Caenorhabditis elegans: one gene and its partner. The protein of the gene in region 2 purifies or fractionates together with the protein of the main gene of each other region. This does not show direct contact. Each region holds a gene or a part of one and is shown on either strand. Other genes may lie near its edges.

Region 1 (15,568 bases), on a different chromosome or scaffold from region 2:
TCACTGTCCATTTTCTAATGAGAATGTCGTCGAGCTTCAATGTGATTTCATTCTTTGCAACTTTAACGACGGTCACACGGATAACACTGTTCGTTCCGATTTCCAATCTGAAAATCAAATGTTTTCCGAATTTTCTGTCTGAACGAAAAAAAACTTACAGATCTTGATTCTCCTCATTCACTGGGATTCGTCCGGAAACTCCAGGTCCAAGTTCAATGAATAACGATCCTTTCGAGGCGTTTTCAACGATTCCATCATACTGATCACCTTCCTTCATGAGTTTGCTATCTAATAACAATTGTCTTTTTGCATCCGTAGATTTAGAGTTAAACCGATTTTTGAGCACAACGAAATATCTTCGTGGTTTTTCTTGTAATTTTGCGCAGACAACATCAACAAGTTTTCCATCTGTCAACTGGTTCTCTGTGATTTTCTCAATGGTTTCATATTTATCCGTGATAGCAGTTGGTGTTAGAACAGCTTGTTGTCCAGATGAAAGCTTCAATCGGATGTAGGTTTTACTAACAAAGAAGACACGTCCTGTTACAGATGCTCCAATTTCGAATGCTTCTTCAGCAGTATCAAGAGTCAACTTTAATGACATATTCTTTCTGTCAACAGCCGTGATCTTTGCTTCGCGCATTTCTCCTTTTTTGAGAGCCAAGTCAACGATTCCTCCATCAGCAGCAGTTACTTTCAGATCATCAGACAGATTCTCACGAGAGATGGTTCCAGTCCAAACTGGATTGACTTCAACTTTTAATTCCTGTTTTTCAGTCATTGTGTTAGCCCCGAAACATTTGACGACGTCTCCGATTTTGTAGTTGGATTTATACGAGAGATTGGATGCACGAACCTTTCCAGCTTGAATTTTTGATGGGATCATAGTCAATTCTGCGATTCTTGGTCCCTTAGAACTCTTGATAAATCCAATAATACGGACGATAACAGCTTTTCGCACGTTCCTTTTAACAAATTCATCAAGTGGATTCTCAGCTTTCAGAAGACTTGGAGGAAGTTCAGAGACATGAAGTCGTCCAATATTATCCCCAGGAAGACGAATATCAGCAAACAATGAGTTTCTTTTTCGATTCTCTTCTAGATTGGCGGTTCCAATAACTACACCACTGTAGACTCCGAAATTTTTGACGCTTTTTGTGCTGGTTGACACTGCGCCATCAGATCCTTCAGCTGTCTGCTTCTTTTTCTTTTCGTCTCCCACAAACTCTTTATTGATCAATGTTGTTCTTGCTACATCGTCCACATCTCCACCACCACGTGTAGCCACGAAAACTCCTTCTCCAACTGACTTCTGATCATTGAGATCGATAACAGTATGAAGTTTAACTTTTGAATCAGAAGTTGGAAGATGATTTGGATGAAGTCTTGTTGGTAAATAAATCAGACCGTCTGGTGAAACTGCGCACAAGTAATCACGACGTATTGCAACGATTCTTGATTGTTCAGTAGATGGAGTGGCCAGAACGACTTCATTAGTGGAATGGTTGATATCGACTACGATAAATGATTTTGTTGCTTTCTTCTTCTTGGTTTTCTCAGTTGTCTTCTTATCATCAACCATCTTTGGTAAAATACCAGCAATCTTCTTTCCATTGTGCTCGAATTCCACTAGCGTCAGATCATCTAATTCTTTGGTGACTTTACCATTGACTTTGGAACCAGGAATTGGATAGTTGGACTGCTCGGCGAGCCATTTCACTTCTTCAACAATTGATTCCAAAAGTGGAAGAGCATATTTCTTAAGCATCAGCTCGCCAGTTTCTAGATCAGTCTAAAATTTAAATTTCATTACACTACAAGTTTAGGTTAAACTAACACATGGATCAATAAGAAAACTCTTTTTCGTTGTATCAATGCTCTCAATTGTTCCCACAATGACTTGTCCAACTTCGAGAAGTTCGCTGGTGTTCTTGGCATTCTCTATAAGCAAGGAAAAATAAAAATAAGCATTAAAGTATAAAAATTGCTCACTTCTTTCCAGAACCTTTCCAACAAGTCCACTTCCTCCAACGAGCTCCACAAATACTCCAACATTCGTGATGACTTGCCCAACGATTCCGACAATAACTTTTCCTACTTTCAGCTCATCAATCTTCTTTGGTAGCTTCATTCCTTTTACAAAACTAGCAACAGATCTTTTCACACAGGCTCGGTTGATAGCTGCCATTTTACCCATTGGCACAATAGTTGAAATATCTTCCTTATTCTCAATCAACAATCTCTTTGTTAGTCCAATTGGAGCATCAAGAAGATCGGATAGAAGATGATCATCTACAGAAGCATAAACTTCTTTCTTTCCTTCACCGGTGAAAGTGACATTTGCTTTCTCTCCTGCCTTGGCACACAATGATCCTTTGTAGATCTTTCCAATTGATATACCTCCATCAGCTGGGTTCGGTCTCTGAACCAGTTTCTTCTCGGAATTTTGTCCATTTGCAACAGCAGCACTCGGGTTAACGTCACGAAGCACAAATACAACTCGGTTGTCCTCGATCTTCTCCACATTAGCAACTACAAAATCGTTGTTCTTCGGTGTTCCTGGCAAATGAACGGCGGATTCCTTTCTAAGAACTCCACAAATGTTATTGAATGTTCCGAGAAGAAGAACTCCCGTTGGGAAAACCTTTCTGATAACGCATGGAACAGTAACTCCAATCTCCAACTCTTGAACACTGTTGACGGACGGACTTTTCAATCCAAGAATAGACTCTCGACATGTGACGATTAAATTTTTTCTCTCGTCGCAAATCTGCCATACACGACATTTTACTTCAGTTCCAACTTTATAGATGTTCTTCATTTTTTGCGCAGGAAGTGGCTTATCCGAAAGCATGCTCAAAGGAGCAAATGCTTTTACAAAATTACACACCATGAAGTAAACTCCACTTTTTGCCACGTGATGAACACGAGCATCAAGTACATCTCCACACTTTGCATCCTGAAAATATAAAAATGGAATATTTAATTTTACTTTTAATTACCTGATATTTTGTAATTTTTTGATTCAAAATATCTTTTCTCGTTGAAATGGTGATCGATCGGTCTGCATATCGAAATCCTGTGACTCGACACAGCTTTTCCGTTCCAACTTCATACTCAGTAGAAACTTGATCTGGTTTTTCCAAAAGTCCTCGAGATGACACCGCAGTGACCAATGACTTTTTTCCATCGATAGCAGGGAGAGCAAAGTACACCATACTTTTGGTTGGGAGTACATCAATTACAGTGCACTTGACTTTGTCTCCAATTGAAATTCCTTCAAACGATGTTCTTTTTTCGATACGACTGGCAGCAACAATATCTGGGTGTGCATTGAGTACAAGGATTTTTGAATTTTGTTGACAGAACATCACAATTGCTCTAATGGCTTTCCCGAGCTTCTCCGGATTCTCACGAAGGCGCGGAGGCAAATTTCGGCGAGGGAGAATTCCTTTCAGGCCATTTCCAATGTTTACAATGACTCCAGCAGTAACTGCGTCTCCTGTTGGCTCACATTCGAGAATTGTTCCAGGCATCAAATGGTTCAGTTGGAGCTTCTCACAAGACGTCATATTCAAATTGTCCTGCTCCACAAAGGAAGTTACTTTTACTACTCTTGACGTGGAAGATAGAACTCGAACAATAAGTGGCATTCCTTCTTTCAATCCTGCTGCTGGAAATTGCGATTTCTCGATGAATCCTGTTATTTGATCAAGTCCAACATCCAGAATAGCACCCTTCTCCTCAATACTGACGACGGCGGTATGAAGAACGAGACCGGCAGCCAACATATTTGGAGAGAGATGTTTGTTGAGCCGAGCTGGGTTGCAAGTTCCTTTCACCTTCCCTTTGTCGTTACCTTGCTTCTTACTAATCACACGAAATGGAACCATCTGGCCGAGTTGAAATGCATTCTTAATCTCAATTTTTTCCTCGTTGAAAAGTTCCGTAAACTTCTTCGAGACTTCTGAAGCATGAATCTTGACGGTATGTGTACCAGCGGTATGCAGAAGAACTCCATCATCGAAAACCTCAGAAACTACCCCAAAACCTGTGAGTCCTTCAATGAAGCAGTTCTCCTCAACCTTCGGAATCCAGCTAGATTCTTCTTTAGCTTTCTTGGCCTCGTGTTGTTCTGGGGCTGCGGACTTTCTCTAAAACTTGAATACTTAGAATGAAAAGAGAGATAATAACAAACCTTTAGCCCTCCTTTCGTTCCTACAAAGTCCGAGTTGGATTTGTTCAATGGTTTTGGCTTGTCCGAACCACCACCACGCGGGAAGCACTTTTCGTTTGTTACCTCATCTAGTTTAACCATCTGAAACAAAATATTCATCACCCCGGAAGAGATATTACGAGTAAATAAAATATCGACAATTTTTTGAAAACAAAAACATGGCATTTTCTTTTTTTTTTTCGGGGAAAAATTAATGAGAAAATGGAAAATAAAATTGTAAAAAAATTCTCGGAAGATAAAAGTGTGCAATCACCGCGACGGACTATTGCGGACTCGCATACCGTAGCCAATCAAAAGAAGAAGAAATGTTTTCGAAAAATAAATATTTAGAAGGCGAGAGCGAAAATGTATAGTTCTATTTTTTAATTGCTTAACAAAAGCGACGTATTTAGCAAAAAATGTTCAGAATACGCCAAGAAAAAGCTAAATTCTAAATAGGGAAGATTTCGTTGTATGATGAATAAAGTTGAAGATTACCGTAGTAAATGTGTTCGTTGTGAGACCTGCGCTCGTAATAACTTGGTCCTCCCTTTGAAGAAAATTTTGGTCAAAACACTTGATCTAATTAGAATTGTGTTGAATTTGAAAACCAGATCATTACCAAATCCCTCTTTGGTATATCGAAGCGAATTATTTCAGATGGATATTCATTGAAAAATGTCAACATAACGGGGGTAACGGCAAAAACAACAAGGTTAGCAAACAGGAACAGAAAAATTGGAATGAAGTGGTCAATGATTGTCTCCGACGAATCCGTTTGTCTTGAACAACTTGTTCGACTTGACTGCCACACGCAGATCGAAACGACGACGGAAACGCTCAACGAACTTCATGTCTCGAGCAACCTTCTTGGCCGCGACAGCTGAAATATTATTTTTGTTACATTTCTTTTTATTTCTACTATTTGATGTCATAGAATTCTAATAAAACTTACTCGTAGTTCCAGTCCAAGCGAGAGCTGGATAGAATCCCTTTGCTTTATCGAGTGCTGCTCTTGAAACAAGTCTCTGTGTACCATCAACTGGGCGAAGGTATTGTTTGAAATATCGATGAAGGTTACGGTGTCCAATTTTAGCTCCAGAAGGGAGAGTAAGCGACCATCCATCATCAAACAGTTCTGACTTATCTTGATCATCTCCATCATACATCGGACTGTAATCATAGTAGTCGTCGAGCTCAATCATGCTTTCAGGATCTCTGCGGAGTTTGCAGTGCTGCTTATCTCGCATGTGCTGCTGACAACTCTGAACTGATTCGTATCTGGCTTTAACGTCTGGGCAGAAGATACAGCAACGACCAGCTCCAACTTTAAGTCCCAAGTAGCTTAAGCATCCAAGTTCATCGCTCAAGTATTGCCTGTCTGGAAGTTGGAATCCATGATGGAAGTTCATATGAGTACGCATTTCATCCATATTAGGCTTTGTCTGTGGACAAAACAGACAAGATGTGACTGGAAGAGCATCATCCTCATTTAGTTCCTCCACACCTTCCTCCTCATCGTCAGTTTCCCATCCACTCGAGTCATCATCTTCATCATTTTCAGGTTCCTTTAGTGACTCAGGTTTCTTTGGCAAATTCTCTGGCTTCTTTCTTGGTTGCTTTGGACCTTTCTTCACATCATCCTCAATCTTCTTCTCATTTTCCTTGTGCTTTTTGCTAGCTACGTGATCAGTCATTGCATTCTCCGATTTGATTGATTTCCGACAAGCCTTGCAGTACAATGGTTCAACTGAAGCAGCAACGACTGGCTGAAAAATTGATAATGAGTAAGTATTAAGCGAACATTAGAAAACTTTTCCCCTACCTTTGTTGGGTTGAACGATGCAGCTTTCTCATTGAAAAGCTCAATTCCTATAGCTGGAAGCTCAGCAGCTTGTCTTTTCAGATTGTACCGATGCCATTCGGTTTTGTAATGATCTCTCTGCAGCTCGGCTGTCTCGAAGACGACACGGCATGTTACACATGTGAACCCTGTAGATCCATCCATTCTGATAGATCTCTGTAATAAAATGTTTAATTTAAAGCTTACAAGAAGAAATTTAAATAAATTGGAAAAAATATGCAAATGGTCAGCAATAACCATTTAAACAGATGAATAATAAATGATAATATACAATGAAAATACAGCTATATTTATTTGTTCAGTGACGTTAAATTCATAAAAAACAAAACAAAATTATTCGGTCTACGAGTGAGCTCGTTCTACTTAAAATCAATCGCATTACTTCCTCATAGTGGCCTATTTGGAAACAGTTGGGGCAGCAGCTGGTAGTTGGGTTTGAATTGACGCGATCTCCTCATCCCAAGCTTTTTCGATTTTGGCCCAGTGAGTCAGCAACTCCTTCTTTCTCTGCTCACGAGTATTGAAGTAGTAGGGGAACTGTTCACGTTCAGCCAATGTCCATTGATCCGAATCGACAATCTCATCCGGCGACTCGCGTTCACGATCATAACTGGAACCTCCTGGATCGAGAGCAAAACGGAAAGGCTTGAAATGACGTTTCTCCCACAATTGACGGCATCCGTCGGCAAGAAGGATCTGGCTCTTACGGGTGTCAACCTCATCAGCGTTAGCGTCGAATCGAGCACGGATAATACACTTTTGGAAGCGAACTTCCAGATTGTTTCCTCCATACCAGTTGTCAACTTCGCGAAGACAGCGTTTGTAGAGGCGGGTGACCTGAAAATGCAATAATTCGCTACATTTTAAACAGACGAAATCTCCAATCAGATTAAAAAACAACGCTACCAATTTCACAAACGACTAAAGCTTTTCAAAAATAAAAATTACCTTCTGTCTATGGCTCAGCGCCTTCGTGAACATCCACGCCGGCGAATCCATGGCTTCCTCCCGGTCTTCTCTGAAAACAATGGGTTTTATAGAGTACAAAAATATGTGATTGGAACAATAAAATAAAATTGGAAAAAAAACCAATCAGTTTAATTTTTAGTAAACAAGGAAAAGTAACAATTTTCATTTGAATTTTTGGGTAAAAGAGTTAAAAATTAAAAAGCAAATAACAACAACACAATTGGAAGAGGGCGAATAAAAGAAAAGAACAAAAATAACGATAACAGACAAAATGGAATGCGAAGTTTTATGCCTTGACCCTTTGTCGTGGCTCCGTTTCTTCTTCGTATTCAATCTCAACATGAGCTCGTTTCTTGAGCTTCTTCTTCTTTCCATCAGCAGCTTTCTTCCCAGTCTTTTTCTTCGGCTCCTTCTTTACCTTCTTCTTTGGTGGCTCCTCAATTTCCATTGGCTCATCACCTCCTTCCTCATCATCTTCATCCGAATCCTCTTGTTCTTGTTCTGGCTGCCAATTATCCTCGTTCTCACTGTCAGTATCTCCTGGTGACCAATGTCCATCACCTCCGTCTTCCATGTCCTGATCCTCATCGTCGGAACTATCAAAGTCAGCGACGAACTGAGTCTCACCCGTGTCTGCGTCGTCCTGCTCGAGTTCTTGCTCCACTTCCAACTCTTTTTCAGTGTTTTCCAGCATTTGTTCGAATGCCTCTTGACGGAAGTTGTAAACATCGCCATATGTTCCTTGTCTAAAAGTTGTTTCATTCAAAATGTGCACTTTCTAATATATCAACTCACTTAAGTCTGGCTAAGAGCTCTTTCTCAATAGCGTGATCAAGTTTAGCTGCAACAAGTGCCTTCTCTTCACGACGTTTCTCACGTCTTTCCACTTTCCGTCCAATTGGAATGAGTTTCTTCTGGCTGAAAATAAATAATACTATGCAAAATTCAGTTTCTATAAGTTTAAACTTACTTTCCACGGACTGCCATTTTACGCATTCTGATCAAATATTGATGAATTCGGATGAGACGAGCTTTGCACTTGTGTCTAACATATTCACTCCAATGAAGAAGTTGATCACTGATTTGTTCCAATGCTTTGTTCATATCCTTTGACAACTTTGTCTTTTCCCATAAACGACGTGGATAGTGAGATCGTTCGACAACTTTTGCGTACAAGTAACATACTCCGTTCTCCTCACGAACTGTTGCATACTGTGAGTTAGCCAATGGACACGAAGCTCTGTTGCACAAACCAGTCAAATTCATTTCATTTTTACAGAACATTTTTGGCTTTGTCCACGCTTTGTAGGCGCATTGTCCCTTGTTGAGAATGTTCCAAGTCACATCGTCGCACTGCATTTTTACCCAGTTTCTGAAAAATTCGAATTTTTTGAGTTGTTTTTCACACGAGAATTACTTCGATAAAAGGAAAAAGAAGCAAGAATTGATTGAGAAGAACGGGCAAAAAAATTGTGAAAGAACCGAAAGTGTGCGTCTTCGCGTGGCGGTGTTTGCACACTTTGTCAGTCCCGCGTGCCTTAAGGCGCCTTCTCTCTATTTTCATCTTTCAATTAAAATTTAAAGTCTCAAACAAATATTTTCACAGGAAATAACTGGGCCACAGGAACGCAATTAAAATAATATAAACACCAGAGAATATTTATTCATTAGTTAAAACAAGCAAACCGTATTTTAAAGTATTCAAAACAATGGAAATGTACTTGAAACAAACTGTTACACCGTACAATTGAGGATATGAATAGTAACATCGAAAATTGATGTGATAGTGCATGTAAAAAATCTAATACGTTTTATTCTAGTAATTCAGCAACCGGCTCCTCTTTCGCTGGAGATTCAATAGCTGAACTGGTTTCTGTTGCTGGTGCATCTTCGTCACATTGATCTTCCCATGTGGGACCTTCATCCAGTTTTTTCGCCGCCTCAATCTCATCTTCGGTCATATCGCGTTCGACTTCAACAACATACTCTTTTTGTTGCACTTTTTGCCACCCTTCTTCCTCGTCTTTCCACCAATCTTTTGGAGGTGAAGATACTAAATTACTTGTTGTCGGAACGTTACTTTCTTCATCGTCCGAATCGACATCGCTCCCCAAAAGAGCAAATTGGTTTTGTTGTTTCAATGGGATTGGGGCAGTTATTTCCTGGAAAATAAAAATATTGAAATCTGAACAATGCCAGACAAAAATTATATATTTACCTTCATTGGACGAGCTTCTCTCCGAACTACCATTTTTTCCGTACATCTTAATGGTTTCATGAGACCTTCTGTTTCTTCTTTTTTACTCAAAGCTTGATCCATTATATCTTTTCTAATAACAGCAGGTCCTGGCGTCTTTAGAGCTCCTTTGTAGTTTACAAGATCACTAATGAGAACGAGAGGCTGATGAGATTTTCCTCGTACTGCTGTGAGAACGATACTTCTTTTTGGTGGACTGTCTACACTTTCTGAGGCGATATTGAAAAAGTTGGCGTATTCATGCACGAATCTTCTCTTCTCAATACTCATTGCTGGCAGGTGAGCTCGAAAAGTGTCGTGGTAGGCTTCACCCTGTAAAAAACTATATGTATGCCCACAATTTTAAACAAATGGTAGCTTACACTTAGAATTTGAATAACCAGATCAATGAGAATCTTTTCAACAGATTTGACGAAATCAATGTTGGTTCTAACCATCTCTTTCAGATAACAAGGGAAGGAAATAGTTGGAGCGAGTTTGTTCATTCCATATTCATCTGTATCAACTTCAAGAGCTTCAGCAACTTTTCGATTTCTTTCCAATTTCTTGCATTCGTCATCACATTTCATGCAGTTAAGTTGAGAAAAACTTGTTGAGCGCTTGAGAATTCCTTCTTTGACCACTTTCTCTTCACCATCCGATTCAGATTTTTCTTCTTCTTCCTTTTCGAGTTTTGATAGAATCATTTTATCAACTTCACAGCATGGTGCGTCCTTTTTAATTCGTCCACATTCACAAGAAATTCTCACACTTGCTTTGCATGGGCTTGGCTCACACGGAGAATCTTCGTGACATGGAAGTGCGCAAGGATGTTCGCAAAGCTCTCGGATGGTTTCACATTTTTTCGTGCATTTCTCCCCTTCTTTCTCACATTCTTCACCGTGACATGTTCTTTGGCACACATGAACTCCACATTTGAGGGGTTTTTTGCAAACCACGCCACATGAAACTGAGTCGATATGACACGGTATATTTTTGCGAACTCTATGTCCACCATAACACATTTTTTCGGTGAGCTGTGTGCATGGAGGACAGTTTTGTTCACCATGGCACTTATGAGAGACAGAATGATCACAACTGTGTGGACGGACACATGGTTGGGAGCACACTGGTAGACGAGCTCCACATGGAATCGGAGGCATTCGAACTGTGTGACCACAATGACAAAATTGCTCATCAAAACTGGCTTGCAGACACGGACGGCATTGTCCAGCGTGACATACATTCTCACATGTGTGAATTCCGCAAGAAAGTCGTTTGTTGCACATTTGCAGACAAAAATGTTCATCTTGAATACAGCAAACTTCTTGGCATTTGTGCATTCCACATGACTTCTTTTTTCGACATCTTTTTGTGCAGAGATATTCACCAGCTGAAAATATATTGGTCATAGATCAAATGAAGACATTTGAAACTCACTGGTTTTCATTATTTGCAAATATTCGTCACATGGAATGACGCCTTTAGACGTTCCACAGCGACAAATTACGGATGTATTGAGATTGCATGGAGGGCAAGGACCTTCGTGGCACTTTTCTCGACAATGATGATTCTTTCCAGGAGTTCCACAAGTTAGCCATTTGTCACAAACTGAATCACAAGTTGGAACCATGTCTGTACATTTTTTCCTAGTGACTCCAAGTGATTGAAGTGTGTTCCTTCCACATGGACACGTTCGAATTCTATTGGCTCCTGTTTCACATTCTCCACACTCCTTGTCGTGACATTTCTTCGTACAATGATGAATTCCGCACGAAAACATTCCATCACACTCTGAGCCACATGAATATTTCTCGTGTGCACACGGATTGCAGGAAACTTCTTTTGGCGTTTTGCCACAAAAACAATCTTGTTCTAGAATTACAGTACACTCTCCACAATCACCGGAATGACAAATTCTTTCGCAATTGTGTTGGCCACATGAGAGTTGCTTTCCGCAGACTGTTTCACACTGAAAACATTGAATAAAACTAAAGATACAACTAGATTTCAAAATCTCACCATGACTTCTTGGTCAGATCCGCATCTCACACTTTTTTTCGTCTTTCCACAATTGCATGATTTTGTTGTAAAAAGCTTGCATTCAATGCATGGACCAGGATGACACAGTTCAGTACACGGATGAGGACATCCGAACTTTCTTGCACCACCGCATGTCTCTCCGCAACTATGTGGAACTTCTCCAACTCGGAAATTAGGATTTCTCATACGCCCACAGAAACAATAATAATTGTAAGGCATGGTTTCGTTTTCTGTCTGGCAGGTTGGACACCTCCAAGTGTTTGCACCTTCTTTATCTCTGCTTGATCTCGCCCAATCAGTAATACATCCAGTTGAAATGTGGAAAATATGATAACAGGTTTTACAGGACCAAACTCCTTGTCTGGTTGTGATTCGAGTGTAACAAATCGCACATTCATACTTATTATTTTCCAGAAGATATACCAGACCCTCTCTGAGTGGCTTATCCGCTAAAATTTTAGTTTCTTCTTCTGTCAGCGGTTCTTCTTTTTGTTCCCGTCGACGAGCTCCTTGGCCTCTTCGGCTGTTCCCAGGATTTCGAGATGGGTTTTGCACTGACTTGTTTTGTTGATTTGCAATCCTATCCACATTCAGTTGATTTCTATTGTTCTGTCTTGATTGATTTTGTGGATGAGAATCGCCTCTTTGTTCTTGTATTTCGAGCTGACGACGCTGTGTGTTCTGCTGACCACCACGTCTTCTTCTATTTTGCGATGGCTCCTGTTGTCTGGAATTTTGATTCGAATGTGTCGAGGCACCAATCGTCGGTGGAGGCACAGATGGATCGAAGAGAACCGACTGTGCTGGGTTGAATGTCGCAGCATTGGGGTTGAAGGTGAAATTAGCTTCTGGCTGCATTTGTAAACGGCTTGCAGAGGTAGCTGAAATTTAAACAATTAGTTTAAAGCTCTTTAAAGTTATTTTTGCCTTTAATTACCTTCTTTTTGTCCTCTGCCACGTTTGTTTCCACTACCACCACGATGTCCTCCTCTCGGGTTCATCAAAGGCGCCGCATCTAGGTTATCTGCGGTATTGGCTCCTACTTGTCGAGGAGCTTGACGGAAACGACCTCCTCTTCCTCGACTTGCTCGGTGACGGGAAGAATTTGTGGATGTTGGAATACTAGATGATGTTCCTTCAGTATCGGCCATAATTACTTTAGTCTGTAATTGAAACAGATAAATTATTGGAAAAATACTTTTCTTTTATATATTTGTGAAATTTTTTTATTTGAAAACGCGAAACATTGAGAAAAGCGATGCAATGTTGTGCAATAGTTCAGATGACATGACCGACCACAAACTACACATTTGAAGGGACATTGATTTTGCCCGCGTTGTCTCACCACGCGCGTTACACACGCAAAACGAGTGTTACCGTATACAACTTTTAGGACATTTTTCTTCGCTTGCTACATTTCCATTGCAATTCATTTTAGCCAATCATAGGGCACTTTTCTTACCTTTGTTCTTTCATTAATTTTGTTAATTTCTTTAATCTTTACATTTTTACAATAAACTCGACATTTTATCATCTTCTTTCAGGTAATCCGCATCAACCATGGGTCGCATGCACAATCCAGGAAAGGGAATGGCCAAGTCGGCCATCCCATACCGCCGCTCCGTTCCATCATGGCAAAAGATGACCGCCGAGGAGGTCCAAGACCAAATCGTCAAGATGGCCAAGAAGGTTTGCAATTGATCTGAGGAGTTACTTGGTGCGATTCCGATAACTACCATATGATCATCAACTGGGCTACCATTTTTCCAAGTTTGAAAATGGGCCCAGGAAATGTGAAAACCGAGTTTTCGGTGTCCATTTCCTTTTGAAATTTACGACAGGCAGAGATTTTGTATTTTAGGGTCTTCGTCCATCCCAAATCGGAGTTATCCTCAGGGATTCCCACGGAGTTGGACAAGTCCGCCGTCTTGCCGGAAACAAGATCTTCCGCATCCTCAAGTCCAAGGTAATAATGCAATTTTTATATCAGTATACGCTCTTCAAAAGCACTGGTTATCGGACTCAGACTTGTCCATGCCAGCCGTCAAAATGAGCAATATGAAATATCCTGTTTTTGGGTGAGGTGTAACTGTATTTAGATTAGATCTCAATAACACGATGACAGTTTTCGTAGAAACTAGTAAAATTCAATCAACGTCTTTTTCTAGTTTAATTATTGTTTTTTCAGGGAATGGCTCCAGAGCTCCCAGAGGATTTGTACCATCTCGTCAAGAAGGCCGTCGCCATTCGCAAGCATCTTGAGAGATCCCGCAAGGACATTGACAGCAAGTACAGACTTATCCTCGTCGAGTCCCGTATCCACCGTTTGGCTAGATACTACAAGACCAAGCGTCAGCTTCCACCAACCTGGAAGTACGAGTCTGGAACCGCTGCTTCTCTTGTTTCATAAGCATTGTTCTGACAATAAATCGTTGTTGTTTCAAATAATTCTTTTTTGTTTTACCAGTAAATTCAAGTAAAGGGCTGTTCCCATAGATTGGAAGTCGTTCGGAAATTTGACGTTGTCTTTTGCTCACATTTAGCACTTGATCTTCGACTTTTGGATTGACTCTTCGAGCAAGCATTCTATATTCGAAATACTTCCATTGCTTTCACATTCCAAGAAGTTCAACGATCCAATGTCTTTAGATTTAATGCTAACAAAAAATAAAACGAATATTTAATAATCCATCAGGATACAATAGAAAACCTCGTAGACAACATAAACTGAGATACAATAATGAAAATCTGGGGATATGTGGTGAGAGCTCATCTAAATGTTCGATGCCCACGATCTCTTCCACTCTTTCCAGCATCACGTGCAGGCTCTGCTATTCTTGATGCCTTTGGAAGTTCTTCTTTTTTTTCTTTTCGATCATCTTTGCGATCTTTTCGAGAGGACGATGTTGATTTTGAAGGCTCCTCTAGATCAAACTCAATCGCTTTTCGAGAGCCTTTCTTGTCATCTTTCTTGGGAACTGGGTCGGGAAGCTGAAATAAATCACATTTTCGAAAGGAAAATTTTGAAAATAGCTTGAGAAAACGTTAATATCTTACCGCGGGTCCTGCCACTTCAAGCTTCTCATCGGACGGCTTGCTTTTTTGCTTCTGATCTTTGAGAATCTTTTGTTCTTTCTGGTTTTCTCCATTTTCTCGCTTCCTTTCCTTATCCTTTTCTCGTTCCTTATTATCCTTCTCCAACCGTTTCTCTTTTCCTGTTTCTTTGTCTTTCGATCGTTCTCTTCTTTTCTTACCTTCTCCTTTTTCAGATTCTGTGTCCTTCGGAGATTCTTTCTCATCTTTCTTTGAAGGTTCATCAGACCGTTTTAAGCGATCAACAATTCGAGTCTTCTTTGCAGGAGGGGGACTTGGAGTCTTCACTTCACCATCTTCAGTTGTTGGCTCTTTCTTTGATTCTTTTGATCCGTGGGATGATTTCTAAAATTATAATAGTTAGTTCAGTTCTGTGAATTTTAATAATTTATGTACTCACTCCAGGTCGCTTCTTTCTCTCTTTGTTATCTACTGTAGCTTTCTTCTCTGTTTCACTTCCATTCTGATGTACTTCATCATCTTTCACCACTTTCTCCGAACTCGTCGTCCCATTTTTCTTCGAATCTACTTTAATCTTCTTATCAACTGGTTCCCCATCAGCTTTATCTTTCTCATCTACCACTTTTTCTTTTTTCTTTGGTTTTTCAGCACCGACCGACACCTTCTTGTTGGGAACTGGGGCGTAATCCGAATTTTGAGCATAAATCTTCACAGTTCTCATCTTGAGCTTTCCAACATACGAGGCTGCTTTTAATGATAGATCGTCACGTTTTCCCTTCTCTCGATCCTTCAACTTGGTTACAGCTGTTTCCATTGTGGCGACTGCATGTGATATGACTGGAAATCCAGATGTCAACTTTGTCATCATAATCAATGAATTTCTGATAAGTACATAGTCAGCATCATCTTTTGTGAAGACTGTCTTAAACATGGCAGTAAATCGAATTTGCCATCTATAGCATAACTTTCGGAAAGTTTGATATTCAATTGCTTGTTTTGTGATCATTCCTGGAAATCCTGCACATTCCTTCTCGAAAACTTCTTTCTCCGAGTGCCATCTTTGAACAGTGCAGAGCAGAATTTCAAAGAAGCATGCCAGCGAGTTGGCTTCGTTCTCGGTGAGCCCCGCGATCAGAGGAATTATGTTCTCGAAGAGTCTGTCAATGATCAGAACCGATGGGAAGAA
Region 2 (16,992 bases):
TATTAACTATTTTTTAGAAATTTGCATGAAGCTTCCTTACCTTGTCTTTAATAGCCACGTAGCATTTGGACACGTAGAAAGTGTTCTCCATCCACTTCGGATTGACCTTGTAAGCAGCAAGGAAATCCTCGTTGGCCTCCTCATACGAATGCGATGGTGGTTGCTGATAGAAAGTGGCAGCAAGCTTCTTCTCGAGCCATGTCAGAGACGCCACCGAGTACTTATAACGGCCACGCAAATGGAGAACAGCTGTGTCCTTTGGCTCCTTGGCAAGAGTTTTGTCGAGCAATTCCTTGAACTTCTTACTGCATTCCAACTTTTCCTTGGTTGCCATGTATTCGGTTGCTTGTCCAGTCAACACTGCATTCCACTTCAATGCCTTGAAATGGTTTGGATCCTTCTGGACAGCTTCTTCGGCAAACTTGAGTCCTTCAGTGACACTTGCCTTGCGTTGAGCTTTTGGAACACAAGCTGACTTCTCATGAATCACTTGAGCAAGTCTCCACAAGACTTCCACCGAACGATCGCCTTTGTCGAGACGCTGAAAATAGAAAGAGATGAACAATGAAACTATATTCTTTATAACATCTCTTAAGGCTCTCATGTAGGCGGCAAAGCGCCTGTCTGTCTGGCCTTCGCCTGCCTGCACGTGAACTTCTTTTTTATTTCGTGATTAGACATTCATCAAAACGAGTGGAATCACAAAATTAGAACTATGTGAATTCACGTGGCAGGCAGGTTAAAGGCAGGCCCATGTGCTTATCATGGGAGCCTTAATATCTTCCATATCTAAAACTTACCGCTTTGAGCAAATCATATCCTTGATCACGGTTTTTGGTTCCGAAGGTCTTGTCAATTTCATCAAAATTCTGAAAAAAAAAACGATGAAATTTTTTTTTGAAACTCGATAGAACTTACCATGGTGTGGTTGATCGGTGTTGATTAACAACGGGAAATAATTGATTTGGAAGTTCAAGAAGGGGTGGAGTCTGTGGAATGCCACGTTGCAAGAATTAGGGAATAGGGAGGCCACGGTTTTTCAAAAATTTGATTATTTGAAATTTTTATTGGAAAATAAATTAAATCCTTTCAAGTTTTTTTAGCGTGAAATATTAAGGAATTAAAATAAAATGCAAATTGGCAAAAACAAAGCTCGATAATTAGGTAACTGGAAAATTGCACCTTTCAGGGTTTTTAAGAATTTTTTCAATGAATTAAAAATTACTTTCTATATTTTTTTGACCAACTTTTGATTTAAAAAAGTGTTGAAACATTTTGTAGAATTGCTGAAAATATGTAAGTCCAAAGATAAGTGCTTCGTGCAAAAGTCTTCGACACTACCGTACTCCCATGGCTCTGAAGCCGGAACTTGATTGTGTGTATCAGACTATGAAAAAAATTATTTTAAAAATTTTATCGCAAAAAATATTACAGATACGTAGGCATCACAATGGGACAGAAATTTCCGGTACGGGAGAGAATGGAAAGTTTGTATAAATCAAGTTTGAAGTATAAAAATAAGGCGTGGAAAACAGGACAGATTGACAGATTTTTTTACAGTGCGTAGGCTCAGGTGGTGAACAAAAAAATTTTAAAATGATGATAAGCAAGTTTAAAACTTTCCGCGTTCTAAAAGAATTCCAAGAAAGTCATGAAGAGAAAAACGGAGAACATCAAAGCCGAGAACATGTTGTTCATAGCCAAATAGATGTGCCGCCAATCCTGAGTGTAGTCGAGCTGAAACAATAATTTATAAGTTTCCAAATATTCAGGACCTAAGTTCTACCTCGGCGCCAGGTCTTATCACCGACTGCTGCTGACTAACCTCGCTTGTAGTTCGGCTTTCCGGAGTGTCCTCTTCCACGTAGCGATGATAAGCATCACTTCTTTCCGGCTCAATACAGCATACAACTCGGTTTATCTGAAGATTCTTGTTAGATTTTGAGTTAGGGAAGCGCTTACCAATTTCGCTGAAAGGAATAGCCGATGAGATGGTGGGACGTTTCGTTTGACACGACTGAGAGCCATAACTACAAGCGTTACCAGAATGCTCATAAAGCTGATTGTAAAGATCAGTTCGTAGAAAATGTCTGAAAAGAAATTTCCAGACTTTTATTTTGGTGATGTTTTACTGGCTACTACAGAATATATTGAAGATAATTCTACAGTACTCCACCCGGGTTGGTTCTTCAGAAACCTTTCCGTATTTTCCCTATCCAACTTGCACCCCAATTGCTCTACTTTGATGGCTTATATCTTGGTTGTCATAAGTTTTATCAAAAAATATTTAACTATAAAAATGTAGAGAAGAATTTTTCCCGTCCTTTGTTAGTTGAGCATTTTTTGATAAAATTAAAGACAACCGAGATATAAGCCGTCAAAGTAGAACAAGGTAGAGAAAGTCTAATTGGGAAAGGTACGGCACTTCATTTTTATTGTGCGAGCTAGCAATTTTTCAACTATTCCTTACAATTTGTGAGCTTCAAAAGTTTCATGGGGGCAGTCACAAAAATATCTGACCGTCTTTAAGGCTGAATTTGCCTAACTTGTGCCTACTGCCTGATATCTCAAGTCAGAGAATTAAAGTTTTGAATCAAAAAACCTTACAAATTCGTGGTCTGACTCCAAGAAAACCGTTCAATGGAGTTATGGTGCAAAGGTAGAGAAAGCATAATGTTTGAATATGGAGGGAGAAGAGCTTCACATAGATTTGTGTGCGAAGATCTCCGAAGAGAGGTGAGGCCTGCAAATTTTAGTTTAATTCCTAGAATACTTCCTTCGCATCCACTCACCAGCATCACATATGTCGCCAGCGTAACCGGGAATAAAAGAGCAACACGGACAGTGCTCATCTGCTTTTCAGCTCGAACACAAACTTGCATAACTTGCAAGCTTTTTAGCCCTCCCAGATTCGAAGTGCTCATCGTTTTCTCGACAACTACCCATGGGGAGTGTTCTTGAACAATATCACTGAGCTGTTTTTCTTTTTCATAGATCTTTTGCGCGTAGACAGGTCGATTCATTTTCTCTTTTTCCTTTCCTTCGAGCACAAGCGTGGTTTGCTCCACGTTCGGCTCGAAGGCGGTGAAGAAGATGCAGCAGCTGTCGTCTTCTTCAGGGAATCTGGAATGGTTGCAAGTGAGTTTAAGATGTGCTACTGAAATCACTCACTTCCTATAATCCACCGTACAACTTGCAAGATATTTGAATTGAATTCTCGCGTAGATTGTTCCATCGTCATAGATATCAACGTCATCGACTGAATAAGAACAACCACCTTCAGAGCAGAGTCTGGAAAATAGTTCATTTCTAATGTTAGGCGGTTTAAAATAAGGAGATACTCTCGACTAATTTTTTAAACCCAAATTCAGCCATATAAATGTACGGTCTGCGAAAAAAGCTTACGTGTGATCAATCACATGAGGTGTCCAAATGGCACTTGAATTGAAAATGTACAAGTGTTCATAGTTCTCGAATTCGCCTTTCTTATCCCACTTCATACGCTCATCTTTCCAGTTCTGCAAATTTTTGCATTTAATTTCCCACTTTTGTCATCCCATCTACCAGATAAATATCTCCAAAAACGTTGAATTGATAACTAGATCCTTTCACCAATTCCACGTATTTGACAAGCACATTTTCTATCTGAAAATATAAATATTTAAACTTCAGTCTCCTCTGAAAATCATAATTACAGTAATCGTCATTTCGTCGGAATTTGGAGGATATGCGCTTAGTGAGTGTACGCTGCCAGATTTCTCGTATTCCTTGTTGAGAAGATAGTAGAATAGACAGTGCTCATCTCCTCCTAAAACAAAGATTTGGGTTATGCTGTGAGACCACCCAAAAAAATTTTCCAGGTGCCCGCGAAAAGAGAAACTCGGCCACGCACGTTCTAATTAGAATGACATGCAAAAGCGGCCCTTGGCCCCTGGCCCGAGTTACTGTAATTTGTTTTCAGCGTGGCGAGACCCAAAAATATGGAAAAAATGATCATCTTCCGACGTCTGCGTAATATAAAGATCAACATATCAACTTTTAGCCGTCAAAACTAATGAGTCAAAGCGCTCAGTCATGCGTAAACAGAAAATGATCGTGATCTCCAAATAAATTTGAAATGTAATTCCTTGGTTCGATGGAAGCTTGCCCAAAAGTACGGTTGAGGGTCTCGAAACGAACGATTTTCAAAAATTCTAAGAAATGTGCACCTTTAAAGAATACCGAAGTTCTTCATTGTTTTCTTGTGTTATTCATGGGTTAAAAAAAAAGTCATGTATTTTATTTCAGTTTTTCAATTAATTGTAAGAAAACTATACGGTACCCGGTCTTGACACGGCAAATTTGTGTTAATTGAGAAAAGGTGCGCGCCTTTAAAGAGTACTGTAACTTCAAACTCTTGCTACTGCCGGATTTTTCATAGATTTTCTCTAGATTTTGAAATTTATTTAATAAAAAAGTGCATTTTTAAGTATCGAAATTCTATCAAAAGTCGATTAATATTGCGCAGAAACGAAAGTTTGAAACTACAGTACTACAGTACTCTTTGAAGGCGCACACCTTTTCTGCATTTAACACAAATTTGTCGTGATGAGACCGGGTATCGTATTTTTGCGATAATAATCGCTAAATTTCGCAGTTTTCAAAATGCAAAAAAAGAAAAGAATTCGCAAATTTTTTTAATTTGAATTTTCACTTCCGAGAGTTACGTGGGCAACGTTATTCCTTCCAAAACCATTAAAAAAAAAGTATTTCGGAATTTCCAAACTCACCATCTGCTCGATTTGTCAAATTCTTCGTGTACCTGCATTGAACCATCTGCTCAGAAGTCTGAATGAGAAGAAGTGCTCCAAAGAGCACAAGAAACGACATTTTTGACCAGCAAGAGGGAATAAGTTATGCGAGTTTGTATGTATGTGTGCTGCTACGCGTATCCCTTCTTAAGAACCGCCCGCTTCTTGTTGTTACCAGGACAACGGAGCGGGGTGGGGAGCCAGCGTGTGAAACAATCGATTCGTTGTGTTGTTGTTCCCCCGGTGTCTCGACTCACAGACACTATTTTCATGCTATGACCGCTGATTTTATTCGGAAAAGAGCAGAAAAGAAGAAAAAAAAAATTAAAGTTTGAGTGCTATATGCTTCTTTCTCGAAAACTAAAAATCTTATACATGATTGTAGAATCGAAGCTAGAAAAAATTCAAAAATCCAATCAGTATCGTGTGGTCGGAACATCGGCATTTCCAAGTTGCATCTTCTGCCAAAGAAGTGGTCCTCCCCAGATTCCGGCAGATTGTGGATGAGCAGTCATTCCTTGGAGTCCAGTCTCCGAGTGTCGTTGATACTGCCAGAATGCTCCGAGGATGGCGGTGAAGATGGCGGCAGTGGTTCCAAGGGCAACGTTGCTCTCTGGAAAAATAGTGGTTTTGAAACGAAAAATTAAATTTTTCAGGAATTAACCAGGACAATCAGATTTTGATTTTGTGTCTAGATTTTTTATTTGTTAAAAAATAAAAATGTACAAGTTTTGCCAGATTTACAGAGAATTTTGTTAAATTTTAAAAATAAATATTCATATTTTAAGCCGAATTTTTATTATTTTCAGACTAATTTTTATTAAAATATTTCGAACAAAATATTTTTTCGGACAGAATCAGAACTAATTGATTATGAGATACAATGATAATGTGGCTGCTACCATGAAAGATAATTTTTTGAATTGATTTTTTTCTATTTTGGAAAATTACGAAAATATATTAGTTTCTGTTTTAAATTTTTTCCATGTGATTTTCTTCGAATTTAACAGAAAATCTGATGAAAACACATAAGAAATCATTTAAATAGAATTAAAATTTTTTTCTACGCTCTGAAAACCACGTTTTTTGATCATTTCGCCAAATTGGCTTACAATTTTTAACAAAACATACTCATGGTAGCCACGGTTGATCCAACAGCAACACTAGCGAACCAATGATTATGGACATCATCCTTATGACGGATCGATGAGGCTGCTGAAAGACTGAAGCCCCAGGCGAATGCAACGGCCAATGGGAATGGAGCGAGTTGGAGGTATCTCTTCATATAGGTTCTTGGCGAGAATTCGGATACCGAGACTGTATTGAGTGCACGGATTTCCAGCATAGTGTATGGAGCCACTGAAATTATGTTTTATGATTATCGTGAACATTTTTTAAATCTTAATCTAGTCTTACACAAAATTCCAGCATACTTGGCGGCGGCAAGTCCTTTCCAGAAAGATCCCTCATTGAGTGGACTGTCGAAGAAACGGGGTCCGGCAGGATACCAAGAGTTTGGCAACACGGCGTTTCTGCCTAACTCGTCCTTTGGAGCTGGAAATAAAAAAGTTTTGTAGCAGGATACTTATAATAAAATTTTAATTATTCCTCACTTAGCATATTATCGCTCAAGGTTGGACTAACGGATAGTCCTGGATGCTCTTTGCTGATTCCAAACTTTTCAGCGATAGCCTTAAACTGGTGGGATCCTTCGTAAACTTTGTTCTGGAATTCGGACAGCTCTCCTGGCTGATCTCCTTTTTTGGTGAGATTTTTGGTCTTCTTGGAATCGAGTCCGAAAGGTCCGGCCAGGGATTCTCCGTCTTTTACCTGAAAACGCAAAAAATTAGCGAATATCACTCAAAATAAATTAACTGTACCTTTGGATCATACCAATCTGGATCTTCCTCACGGAAACGAGCACGATAAAGACGAAGTTTTCCAGAACGCGTGACAGAGTCTTCAAGTCCTGGCTCCTTCCACCAGTCGGCACGTCCCTTGCTGAATTACAAATTTTACCATTTTAAAATATTTTATTGAATTAGATTTAATTTCAAAAGTAGAAAAAGAATAAAGCTTACTATTCACGATCACTCCAAAGACCGATCCATGGAGGTCTCTGCGTTTTATACGTGGCGGTCAATGGTTCTTCTCCGTGGCCCATTTTACCTGAAAATCGATTGATAAATAACAATAAAAAATTGTTCATAGATACTTTCAAAAAATTCCAAAGAAGATAAGCCAAAAATATGTATTCAAATGCGGATAAAATAAACAAAAACAGAAAAAAATACACTGAAAAATTAATCGGCCGAGACGGGAAACGCGCAAGGAATGAGAAACGCGCCAACAATCATATGTTAGCGCATACTTCGTCCTTGCGCGGATTTTCAAAAACGATTTATTTGTAATTTCTTTTTGCATTTAATTTTGCGGTTTTTGCTTTTTGAAAGCTCTTAGAGTTTATAATTTTGTATTAACTATAAGTAAAAAGATTATAAAATATTTATTCGGATTAAAATAAATTTTATCTAACAAATTATTTTTCAAAGAACATTTCCTGAGATGCGAACAAAAAGTTGATTAATATTAAACAAAGAAATCACAAGGCGACATCTTCCTGGTGCTTGAACTGTGACATGACGTCTGCTGAATGCTTCTCTTTTTGAGCTGAAAAATCGATAATTTGTTAAATGTATTATTACAAAAATGTTATATTACCTAGCCTCCACTTTCGAAGATACGCAGCTCTCCGCAATCTTCTCTCTTCTTCAGTTTCTCCTTTTGTATCAATATTCGATTTTATATAAGGTCTTACTGGTGTGGTTCTAGCCGCGCACGCTTTTCGCTCTGAAATGTACGAAATTGGGATAAAATGTGAAAATTTATTTTAGAAATCACCTCTTTTCGGTGGTACATGCGTTTTCCTGTATTCTTGCCAAAATTTTCGTTTTTCTTGAAGAGAAGTGTCATTTTCTGAAATAACTAACAATCATATAAGTTCCATAAATTAATTGCAAAACCTCGTTGAAGCTCATAATGCTCTAGTCTTCCAAATGCTTTACGCAGAAATTTTCCGAATTCCTTAGTTTGAACGAATGGCAAATGATTTTTTTCTCGAAATAATGTATAGAATCGACGCAGTTCCTGAAGCTCATCAACATTCCATTCCTTTTCTGGATCGTCCATAGCTATACTGAACTTTGACATCAGCATTGATAAATGCTCCCGCTCGATTTCGCACGGCGGAACGTCCAGGCGAGTTGGTTTGGGAATGAATTGCTTCTTTGAGTGAACTGAAAATAAAGAATTTTGTTTGAATAAAAACTTTTACAATATTCACTTACATTCTTTGAAAACTTCCGTGAATATATTATTGATAGCGGACCGAAATTCTTTCTCTTTCTCGTATTTCATTCTTGGATTCAAAGTAGAGAATGAGAAATTGTCGGGAGAAGCCTTGCAGCTTCCACCTGGTACGTCTTCTGTTTGATTAGCAGGATCTTCACTACCGACACCCATGAAATTAGAAAAATCGATAGCTGATTCCTCCGATGAAGCTTTATTTTCGCTCAGTCCTTGGAAAACTTTTCCGTACGCTTTTGAATAAAATTTCTGAAGATTCAGCTTGTCATCGGCCCCTAATGCTCCACTGCGCCAGCTTCTACAGTATGAAGTGAATTCGGCTTTCTCCTCGGCAGTCCATTCTCGGGGACCGTGAACTCTGTTTGCGGTATTTAGAAGTCGTTCAACATCTTTCGAAACTTGATCATCAAACATCTGCGTTCTCTCCTTCTCGAGCTTCTTGTGGAGATTATTGAATTGAGTGTCAGCATCAGATCCTTGTAGAAGAAAGAAATCCGAACAATCCACGTCGAACTTGGTACGTGGCGAAAAACCAGCTCGTAGATCATTTTGATGGAATCTTTTCGCACTAGATTCAATTGGAACCGGATTGAGAGTGAGCAAGGAAGCTAGCGTAGCTGATGAAGTCGTGGTAGGTTGAGCATCCTCTATCGGAGCTTCTTTTCGTTTATATTTTCGTTTTGGTGGAGCCTGTGGATTCGTGTAGGCCATTGCTTGATCGAACATTTTGAGAGCATTTTGTAGAATTTCGGTTCCAACATCTGCTCCAGACGAAAATTGTCCAATGATAGCTTCTCCTATATTGCCAATATGATCCAAGGGATCAGTGTCCTCTGCTGCAGAAGCTTCCTTCTGAATCAAATGGTCGAGAAGGCTTGCTGATGTGCAAGGAATATCATCTGAAACTAATAATAATTATTTTAAAATATAATTTGAATTGTTCTTACGTTTTTCATTCGATTCGTCGGGTTTTTGCATCTCGTAACAATTGCAATCGGTGGTTTAAAATTTTCGTTTTTGAATTCAAAAGAGTGAGGAAGACAACAAATTAATGCGAAAAAGTTGTTTTGAAAGAAGTTTTGGAAAACGAAAAATGAAGTCGAATGTGGCGCAAAAATCGAAACGAACATGAGAGATAGTGCTAAAATTACTAGAGTCGCAGATTATATTCACGAGAAAGAGCACGCGGGACAAAGAGACAGAGACGAAATAACGAAAGCGGCCAGAAAATTCTCTGCGTCTCCGGGGCAAGGAAGCATTCTTTTATTGGACTTTTGATGATTTTGAAATTTGTCTCTGCGTCTTGTTGCAAAATTGGGAATAACAAGAAAACGCATGACTTGTTTGTCTAGAATAGGATTACATGTAATATGCAGCGCGTTTTTAGACCCGTTTTACTCGATTCTTGCTAATTTTTTCCGGGAAAACATAATGAAGATTAACAAATAATTCTTTCAAAACATATAAGATTAGTAAAAAATGAATAAAAGCGAGATATCTAAAGAAAGAAAGAAGCAATTAAAATTGCGACAAGTTTGCCCGAAAATAACTAATTTTCAAGTTCCCTCCGTTGAAAATTTGCGCTAGAGCACACTTGCATTTTTCAATTTTTAACAAATTCTTTGTTGGTTTTTAGCATTTATATATTCGAATATATTCCAGTTTTCTCCACAAATGCAATGTGTCCGGAGTTTTGTGAAGAACGAAACGTTCAATCGAAATAAGGTAATTTGTCTATTTTCAACGAATTCATCGAATTAATGATGTTCTTCCAGATTTTACTAGTGGCATTCGTGGCAAGGATAATTCTCGTTTTCTACGCACACATTCACGATTATCTATTCAAGGTTTGATAATTTTACATCATCAAAATAAGTTTAAACTCAGTGTTTCAGGTGAATTTCACAGACATCGACTATCACGTGTTCTCCGACGCTGCCAAACATGTCTCAAACGGTGGAAGCCCATTCGACAGAGCCACTTACCGATATACGCCTGCGCTAGCATGGATTCTTTTGCCTGTTGTGCATTTCCCGGACTTTGGAAAGATTCTCTTCTGCATTTTCGACATCCTGGTGGCGATTCTGTATTTTAAAATAATGGAGAAAGATTTAAACGAAACAAAAAGCGAAACACGAGAAGAAATGAAAGATGATCAAACAATGAATGTCGTGATTTACTGGCTTGCGAATCCACTGACCGCTATCATCTCAGCCAGAGGAAATGCAGAATCTATTGTTGCTGCAGTCGTGCTTCTGAATATTGTGCTACTTCAAAAAGGATACTGGAAATCTGCAGCTCTAGTTCACGGCGCCCTTGCGATCCAATTGAAGATTTATCCATTGATTTATCTCCCATCAGTTTTTCTGAGTCTTTCAACAATTGGAGAACAAAGTTGTGTTGTGAACAAGTTTAAAAGTTTGGTTTCTAACTGGAAAGGCTTCGCATATATGCTGGTAAGTTATTTTTCTTAAAAACATGGAATTCTCAATGTTAAAAAGATTTAGGTAACTCTCACATCATTCGCAGCGGTGGTACTATTCTTCTTCCAAATCTACGGACAACTATTCCTCGATGAATATCTGATCTACCACGTCAAAAGAAGAGATCTCGCCCATAACTTCTCGCCGTACTTCTACCTATTGTACCTGTATGAAGCGAATCCGACAATGTCACAGATCATCGGCCTCGGAGCATTCATTCCACAAATTGTGCTGATCGTGTTCTTCGCCTTCAAGCATTACGATGATCTTCCCTTCTGCTGGTTTATCACCACCTTCGCATTTGTTACATATAACAAAGTGTGCACAAGTCAGTACTTTGTCTGGTACATTGTTCTTCTACCTTTACTCGCTCATAAAATTATGGTAAATTATTATTTTTAAAACTAGTTTTTTCCTAAATTCCACCTTTTTCCAGATGTCCCGACAACTAGCGTTATCTCTAATGGCCGCGTGGTTCGCAACACAAGGAATCTGGCTTCTCGCTGCGTATTTATTCGAATTCCAAGGATGGAATACATTCTTTTTGATGTTCCTGGCCTCCTGCCTGTTTTTGATTGCAAATTCATTTATTCTCAAACAAATTATCAATCATTATGTACCAATAGTCAAGCCAAAAACCGATTGATCTCATTCTGTAAAATGATATTTATGTTCACTTAAAGCTTTAGTCGCCTTTTTCATATGGGTAATTACTTGTATTTATTTTTAAAATTAATAAATTTTATTGCATTTTTTATTGCTCCATCATTTCTGGAACCTTATATTATCGGTTATTATCTCATCCGATAACTGATTTTCTTTTATTTATTAATTGTATTGATATCAGCTGATAATTAGTTATGAACTGCAATTTAAAAAAAAAAACTTCAGATGGTATTTTATTTGATTGGTTTGGGACTTGGAGACGTTGAAGACATCACTGTCAAAGGATTAAATATTGTCAAGTATTTATAAAATATAATTAATGCAAAATTAAATATTTTTATTCAGAAACTGTGCTCGCGTTCATCTAGAAGCCTACACAAGCATTTTATGCTATGGATTGGACAAAACAAATCTCGAAAAGTTCTACGGAAGAGAGATCATTGAAGCCGATCGGACAGTCGTCGAGCAGGAGTCTGATGCGATTTTAAATGGAGCCGATAAGGAAGACGTAGCTCTACTTGTCGTTGGAGACCCGTTCGGAGCAACTACACATGCGGATCTGGTGTTGCGTGCTAAGCAACAGAATATTCCGGTGATTTGAGGAAGCTAAATTTGATTCCAGTCACGGAACGTGCAAAACATAAACTAAAAAACTAGAAACTTCCTTTAAACTTTCATATAACTTGAATTTTTTGTGTGTTCAAAATATTAAGAGGTTTTTTTTAAAAATAAATTAAAACTTCCTTCGTTTCAGGTCAAAGTGATTCACAATGCTTCCATCATGAATGCAGTTGGCTGTTGTGGACTACAACTCTACAATTTCGGAGAAACAGTTTCAATTGTAATGTGGACTGACGAGTGGCAGCCGGAGAGCTATTACGATAAAATCGCGTTGAATCGTAAACGTGGAATGCACACTTTATGCCTGCTGGATATCAAAACCAAAGAGCAAACTGTCGAAAATATGATGCGTGGGCGGAAGATCTTCGAGCCAGCCAGGTATCAAAAGTGCTCCGAAGCGGCTCGACAACTGCTGACCATTTATGAGAGACGAAAAGCCAAGGGAGAAGAGTGTGCCTATGATGAGAACACGATGGTTGTCGGCTTGGCAAGAGTTGGATGGGACAATCAGAAGATCGTATACGCGAGTATGAAAGATATGAGTGAGATGGAGATGGGCGAACCTCTACATTCACTGATTATTCCTGGTGAAACCCATCCTTTGGAAGTCGACATGTTGGAAACTTTCAGGCCATAATTCCCCAAAATTGTTCCTTTTTTTGTTCTTATTCTTGTTCTGTTGTCTGTTGCTAATTACTTTTTCCACATTTTTTCAAACTTTTTTTGTTTAGTTTTTCGTTTTTTTTTTTTTTCATTTTGTTAGTCTCAAAAAAATTAATCTTCATTTCAAACTTTTTCCCACACACCGCGATTTTTTAATCCTCTTCCAATTTATCCGTATCCAGTTTCGCCTTCAAACTTTTGACCCTGGGAATGGAGGAAGAAAGCAAAAAAAAAAATGGCAGTACAACTAGAGGTCATCCGTCAACTGGGGATTACCGGAAGAAGTCGTTGCACATTTCTCACTTTTTAAATTTTCCTGCTATTAAAATTGCATTCCTATTTAGATAGTATTTTTAATAGGAATTTTCCAGAAGATCGACGACAATATTCTATTGAGTTAGCAAAGCAAAGCGGAAAAAACTAGTGAGCCACGAGAAGGCGGAGCTGTAATTGAGAACACCAAAACCTGACACGACGAAAAAGAGACTAGTAACATAAATAGTCAAAACAAGTTTTTTCTCCCTGTGCTCCGTGAGTACCTCAATCATGATTCGCGCAACGTCCTGCACAGCTCTTTTTTCCGGCCTGGAGAGGGTGGAGTTTCGAAGGTTGCTGCTCCAGGCCCTGCTCACACACACATGTCTTCCCTCTTCCTCGTCTTCTTCCATCGGTTCATCGTCTAGTTAATTCTTTCGTTTCCTTTCTTTTTTTGTTACTACTCATCTTACGCGACCTCCTTCATGAAACAAGTTGGATTTTCGGAACATGTTACTGTATTCCCGGCTCCACCGACTTCAATCGCAGTTATTGCAACGACGAATAAGGATATTGATAATAAGTGAGTTATTCGATTACGCTCTCTGGGACACGTGAAACAATTTCCAAAAATAATTAAATTTGTTTCTTTTTCCTATAACCCAAATGCGAAATTCAACGGGTTTCGGTTTTTTGCACCAAAAATACGGTACCAGGTCTCGAAGCGACCGATTTTCTTATGTGCAGTAGAGTGAGCGCCTTTAAGGAGTACTGTAGTTCTCAAATAATCGTTTTTTCGTAATTTTTCCCAAGTTCATTACAGAAGTTTATCGAGAAAAAAATTGGAAATTTTTCAATAAAAAAAGTTTTTGAGGTAACGGGAGAAAAACCATGAAAACTTTGTGGCAACTAAAAGTTGCGAACTACAGTAATCCTTAAAGGCGCACACTCCTTTGCATTTTAGAAAATTGGACGCTTCGAGACCGGGTACCGTGCTTTCAATGCAAAAATCACCAAACTTCGCGTTTAAATAATAAATGTTAATTATTTTTTAATCAGTCATTGTTGGCGAGATAAGTAAATCCATATGACATAGATCGTGGCAAGACCCACCAAAAAAATACCATGTTCCTTAATGTGACATTTCATATTTGATCGAATTTACGATACTTTTTGACATTTCCGAATAGAAATTGGAAGCTGTGCTTCTCAAAAAATGTCAGATTTTAAAAGTTATTCTCAATAGAGCAACTTTTCCTTTTAAAAGCCATTTTTCCACGAACATATAATAACACATTGTCTTTTCCGAAATGACGTGTCTTTTTTGTCTATAATGACCAAAAACGAAGTTTACGACGGCACGGACGGAAAAGCATCTTACATATGTCAATTTGGGTAATTAGACGTTCTTCTCTTTTGTTTGTTCAATAAAAGTCCCTGCCGAGATTTGTTCATCAACACAAATCTCTAGACCACGGGGGGAAAAACAAGAGTAATTATTCTGGATAATTTTTATTGGACGAGATTCAGGAAGGTTCTGCCAGCTTGCTTTTTATAGATTTTTATAGAAAAAAAGCTCCTGTTTAGGATTTAAAGATGCTTCCAGAACACTGTACCCGGCCTGGAACCGACAGAAAAATCTTAAAGTATTTAAATTTAGCTACCAAAACGGTGCGTACGTCTTCACGAGTACTGTAGTTTCCTGTGCGAAACCGCGTCCCATGGTACTCTTTGAAGGCGCACACACTTTTTGACAGCTAGATTTTGACAATTTTCGATCGTTTCGAGACCGGGTTTTGTACACGAAAAACAAAATTTCTTTACAATGTTTAATAAATATCAAATTTTAATTTAAAAAACTATAGCGAGTCGTTAATCGACCCGAGTTACAATAATTCGCTGTCCGCGTGGTGAGAACTTTTTGCTAAAATTGAAATTGTAAGACCATTGAATAGTTTCTAAAATTAGACTTTCTTGTGAACGTGCAATTTCTGAATAGAATTTGTCTGCTCCGTTCAAACTTGAGGTAGTCTCAATGTTTCCCAGAGAAGCCAATTCGGAGCGCTTGCAAATTGAGTAAATTGTTTTTTTTTTGCGTTTCTCATTCCACCAACATCTGACAATTTATTGGATTATGTCAAACTCTTTCCCCGTGCCTTTCCTTTTTTGCCGAAACAGATTCAATTTGTGCCGTGTTACCATTTCCATGAAACTTTTCCCGTCCGTCCTCTCCTCTTTTTTAATTTTCTTTTTTTTGGATTTTCGAATTTTCCCCGGAGACTTTCCTCCCACTTTTTGGCAAATTATTTCTCCCCTTGTTTTCATTTGGAGGGAGAGGAAATGAGCAGGTGTGAAGTTAGAAGAACACTTCCGCATTTGCTCAAATTGATTATTTCTACTATTTGTATATTTTCAGCGTGTGTTCATCAATAGCACGATGCCATTTAAATTCCCAAGAAAGTATTACTATAACTATAATTATCGGAACAGGTAACATAACTTTATAAAAATTGTTTTTAAGAGTTGTACATGAAAAATAAAAGGTCTAAACTATAACAAAGTTTTATTAATAAGCTTGATTAGATTTTCATTCAATTATTAGGGTTACTCATTCAAAACTGCAAGGCGTAAATAAAATGGGCTCCGGAGTTTTGGCTCAGGGTTTTTGGGTGTTAAATATGGCTTCAGAACAGATCGAGTTAGGTAAACCTTAAAGCTAGTTTCACAGTGGTATTTTACCAGTTTGCCAATTTCCGGAATATATTATATATTCCACTCTGAAAAAATGTGATGGTTCTTGTATGTTCGAAGTGAGTGATTGAAATTGTTACAGTCCATGAACTGAGTAACTAAAAATAAGTTAGGCCTTGTATTTAATTTTACGTACAGCCATAGTTTTGGTAAATTGTCTAATTTTCCTGAAAATTTGCAAATTTTGAGAACTACCGAGCATCGCTGCAGGCTTGGATTCTAGAATGTACAAACACAAATAAGTTTAACAAATGAGAATATAAAAACCATATACCTATTTTTTGCCAATCTTCAAAAACTATGATAGGGGAAAACTAGGTAACTGCAAGGTCTATTAATTTAACATTTCCAAAATTTTTAAAACAGTTTTACTATAATATTTTGTTGTTTTAGAAATTTATAAATGATTTTAAATATTTTTCCCACCGGTTATCCTTTGAAATAATATGATAAAAAAGGGAAAAAAATCTGATATAATTCCGCAAAAAACTTTATTCCAATAGGATTGGTTTTGATTATAATTCAAGTTTGAGTTCACTCGCCAAGTTTTAGTAATAATATTTTAATATGACAAATTAAAGCTATATTTGAAACAAATGTTTTTTGATGCTGACCTATACCCAAATTTCTTGAAAATGAGTTTTTCTATAAGAATTCCCACATAACTAGCCTCGTTCTCCACACTCCGATCAATGATATTCCCACCTAATTAGTTGGTTTTTGCAGTAAGCTAGATATAGTAAAACCGATTGAATAAAGCTTGACAGACTTTTCGGTTTACCAATTTGATAGAATTTTAATTTTTGTTTTTAGAAAATTAAATCGGAATGCCCCTCATTTCAAACTGCTTTTCAATTGTTGCTTCCGTTTATGTTTTTAAACTTTTTCTCAAAATGTTTTTTTTTTCAAAATATGATTGATGTTTTCTTTTTTGTGCTGAAAAAAACAGCAAAAATCTCATCTGAAAACCACTGAGAACATGCTGATTTGTCAAAACATTCTTTGCATGTCACCCAAGACACTTTTGACATTTGGAGCCAAGAGAAGTTCACATTCTTTGGGTGATATTTCAGTGATTTGTCAGATGGGACCCGCATGAAGAGTTGTAACAGATGAGATGAGAGCAGGTGCCCCACTCATTTTGAATCGGTTAAGGATTAGTCTCGGACCCAGCTCCTTTCATTTATCACTGGAAGAGAAAAGATTGGTCACAATTTATGTGTTATCACGTAGAGGAACTTCTTCCCCGACACTTCTCACACGTTTTTATTAGTTTTTTCATACCTTTTTTCTAGGCTAACATCTAGTTTTTTGGTTCCTTTGATATCTTGATTATCGAGGAGCAGAAAATCGAAAGAAAAGCGTAACTCTAGATTCTGTTCCGGAGTAGTGTCATC

Evidence for each region.
Region 1: the proteins of nduf-11 (region 2) and C16A3.5 fractionate together in Caenorhabditis elegans (co-fractionation; one large-scale study listed by BioGRID). This does not show direct contact.

Annotation. Positions count from the first base shown.
Region 1 is NC_003281.10:6,372,302-6,387,869, reverse strand, and holds C16A3.5 (NADH dehydrogenase [ubiquinone] 1 beta subcomplex subunit 9), read right to left. Parts: upstream 7,099-15,568; 5' UTR 7,080-7,098; coding exon 7,029-7,079; intron 6,918-7,028; coding exon 6,477-6,917; 3' UTR 6,353-6,476; downstream 1-6,352. Other genes in the region: let-716 (rRNA biogenesis protein RRP5), read right to left, coding at 1-107, 159-1,792, 1,838-1,941, 1,993-2,959, 3,003-4,154, 4,199-4,318; znf-622 (C2H2-type domain-containing protein), read right to left, coding at 4,969-5,099, 5,172-5,985, 6,042-6,224; C16A3.6 (Protein MAK16 homolog), read right to left, coding at 7,336-7,795, 7,845-7,967, 8,020-8,408; nfx-1 (Transcriptional repressor NF-X1 homolog), read right to left, coding at 8,861-9,211, 9,268-9,618, 9,669-10,678, 10,726-11,257, 11,308-12,209, 12,266-12,479; rps-13 (Small ribosomal subunit protein uS15), read left to right, coding at 12,889-13,017, 13,190-13,294, 13,517-13,738; thoc-2 (THO complex subunit 2), read right to left, coding at 14,098-14,319, 14,386-14,766, 14,822-15,568.
Region 2 is NC_003280.10:11,338,662-11,355,653, forward strand, and holds nduf-11 (Complex I-B14.7), read right to left. Parts: upstream 6,960-16,992; 5' UTR 6,955-6,959; coding exon 6,872-6,954; intron 6,792-6,871; coding exon 6,671-6,791; intron 6,621-6,670; coding exon 6,404-6,620; intron 6,345-6,403; coding exon 6,207-6,344; intron 6,150-6,206; coding exon 5,922-6,149; intron 5,404-5,921; coding exon 5,207-5,403; 3' UTR 5,060-5,206; downstream 1-5,059. Other genes in the region: rmd-3 (Regulator of microtubule dynamics protein 1), read right to left, coding at 41-541, 801-869, 919-921; lgc-20 (Neurotransmitter-gated ion-channel ligand-binding domain-containing protein), read right to left, coding at 1,630-1,737, 1,787-1,921, 1,963-2,090, 2,608-2,743, 2,793-3,123, 3,172-3,291, 3,406-3,518, 3,565-3,645 and 2 more; B0491.6 (DNA helicase), read right to left, coding at 7,393-7,460, 7,512-7,640, 7,692-7,766, 7,814-8,086, 8,138-9,061, 9,104-9,134; pigm-1 (GPI alpha-1,4-mannosyltransferase I, catalytic subunit), read left to right, coding at 9,831-9,881, 9,932-10,003, 10,052-10,612, 10,664-11,023, 11,076-11,285; dph-5 (diphthine methyl ester synthase), read left to right, coding at 11,531-11,604, 11,651-11,897, 12,060-12,563; clh-2 (Chloride channel protein), read left to right, coding at 13,330-13,427.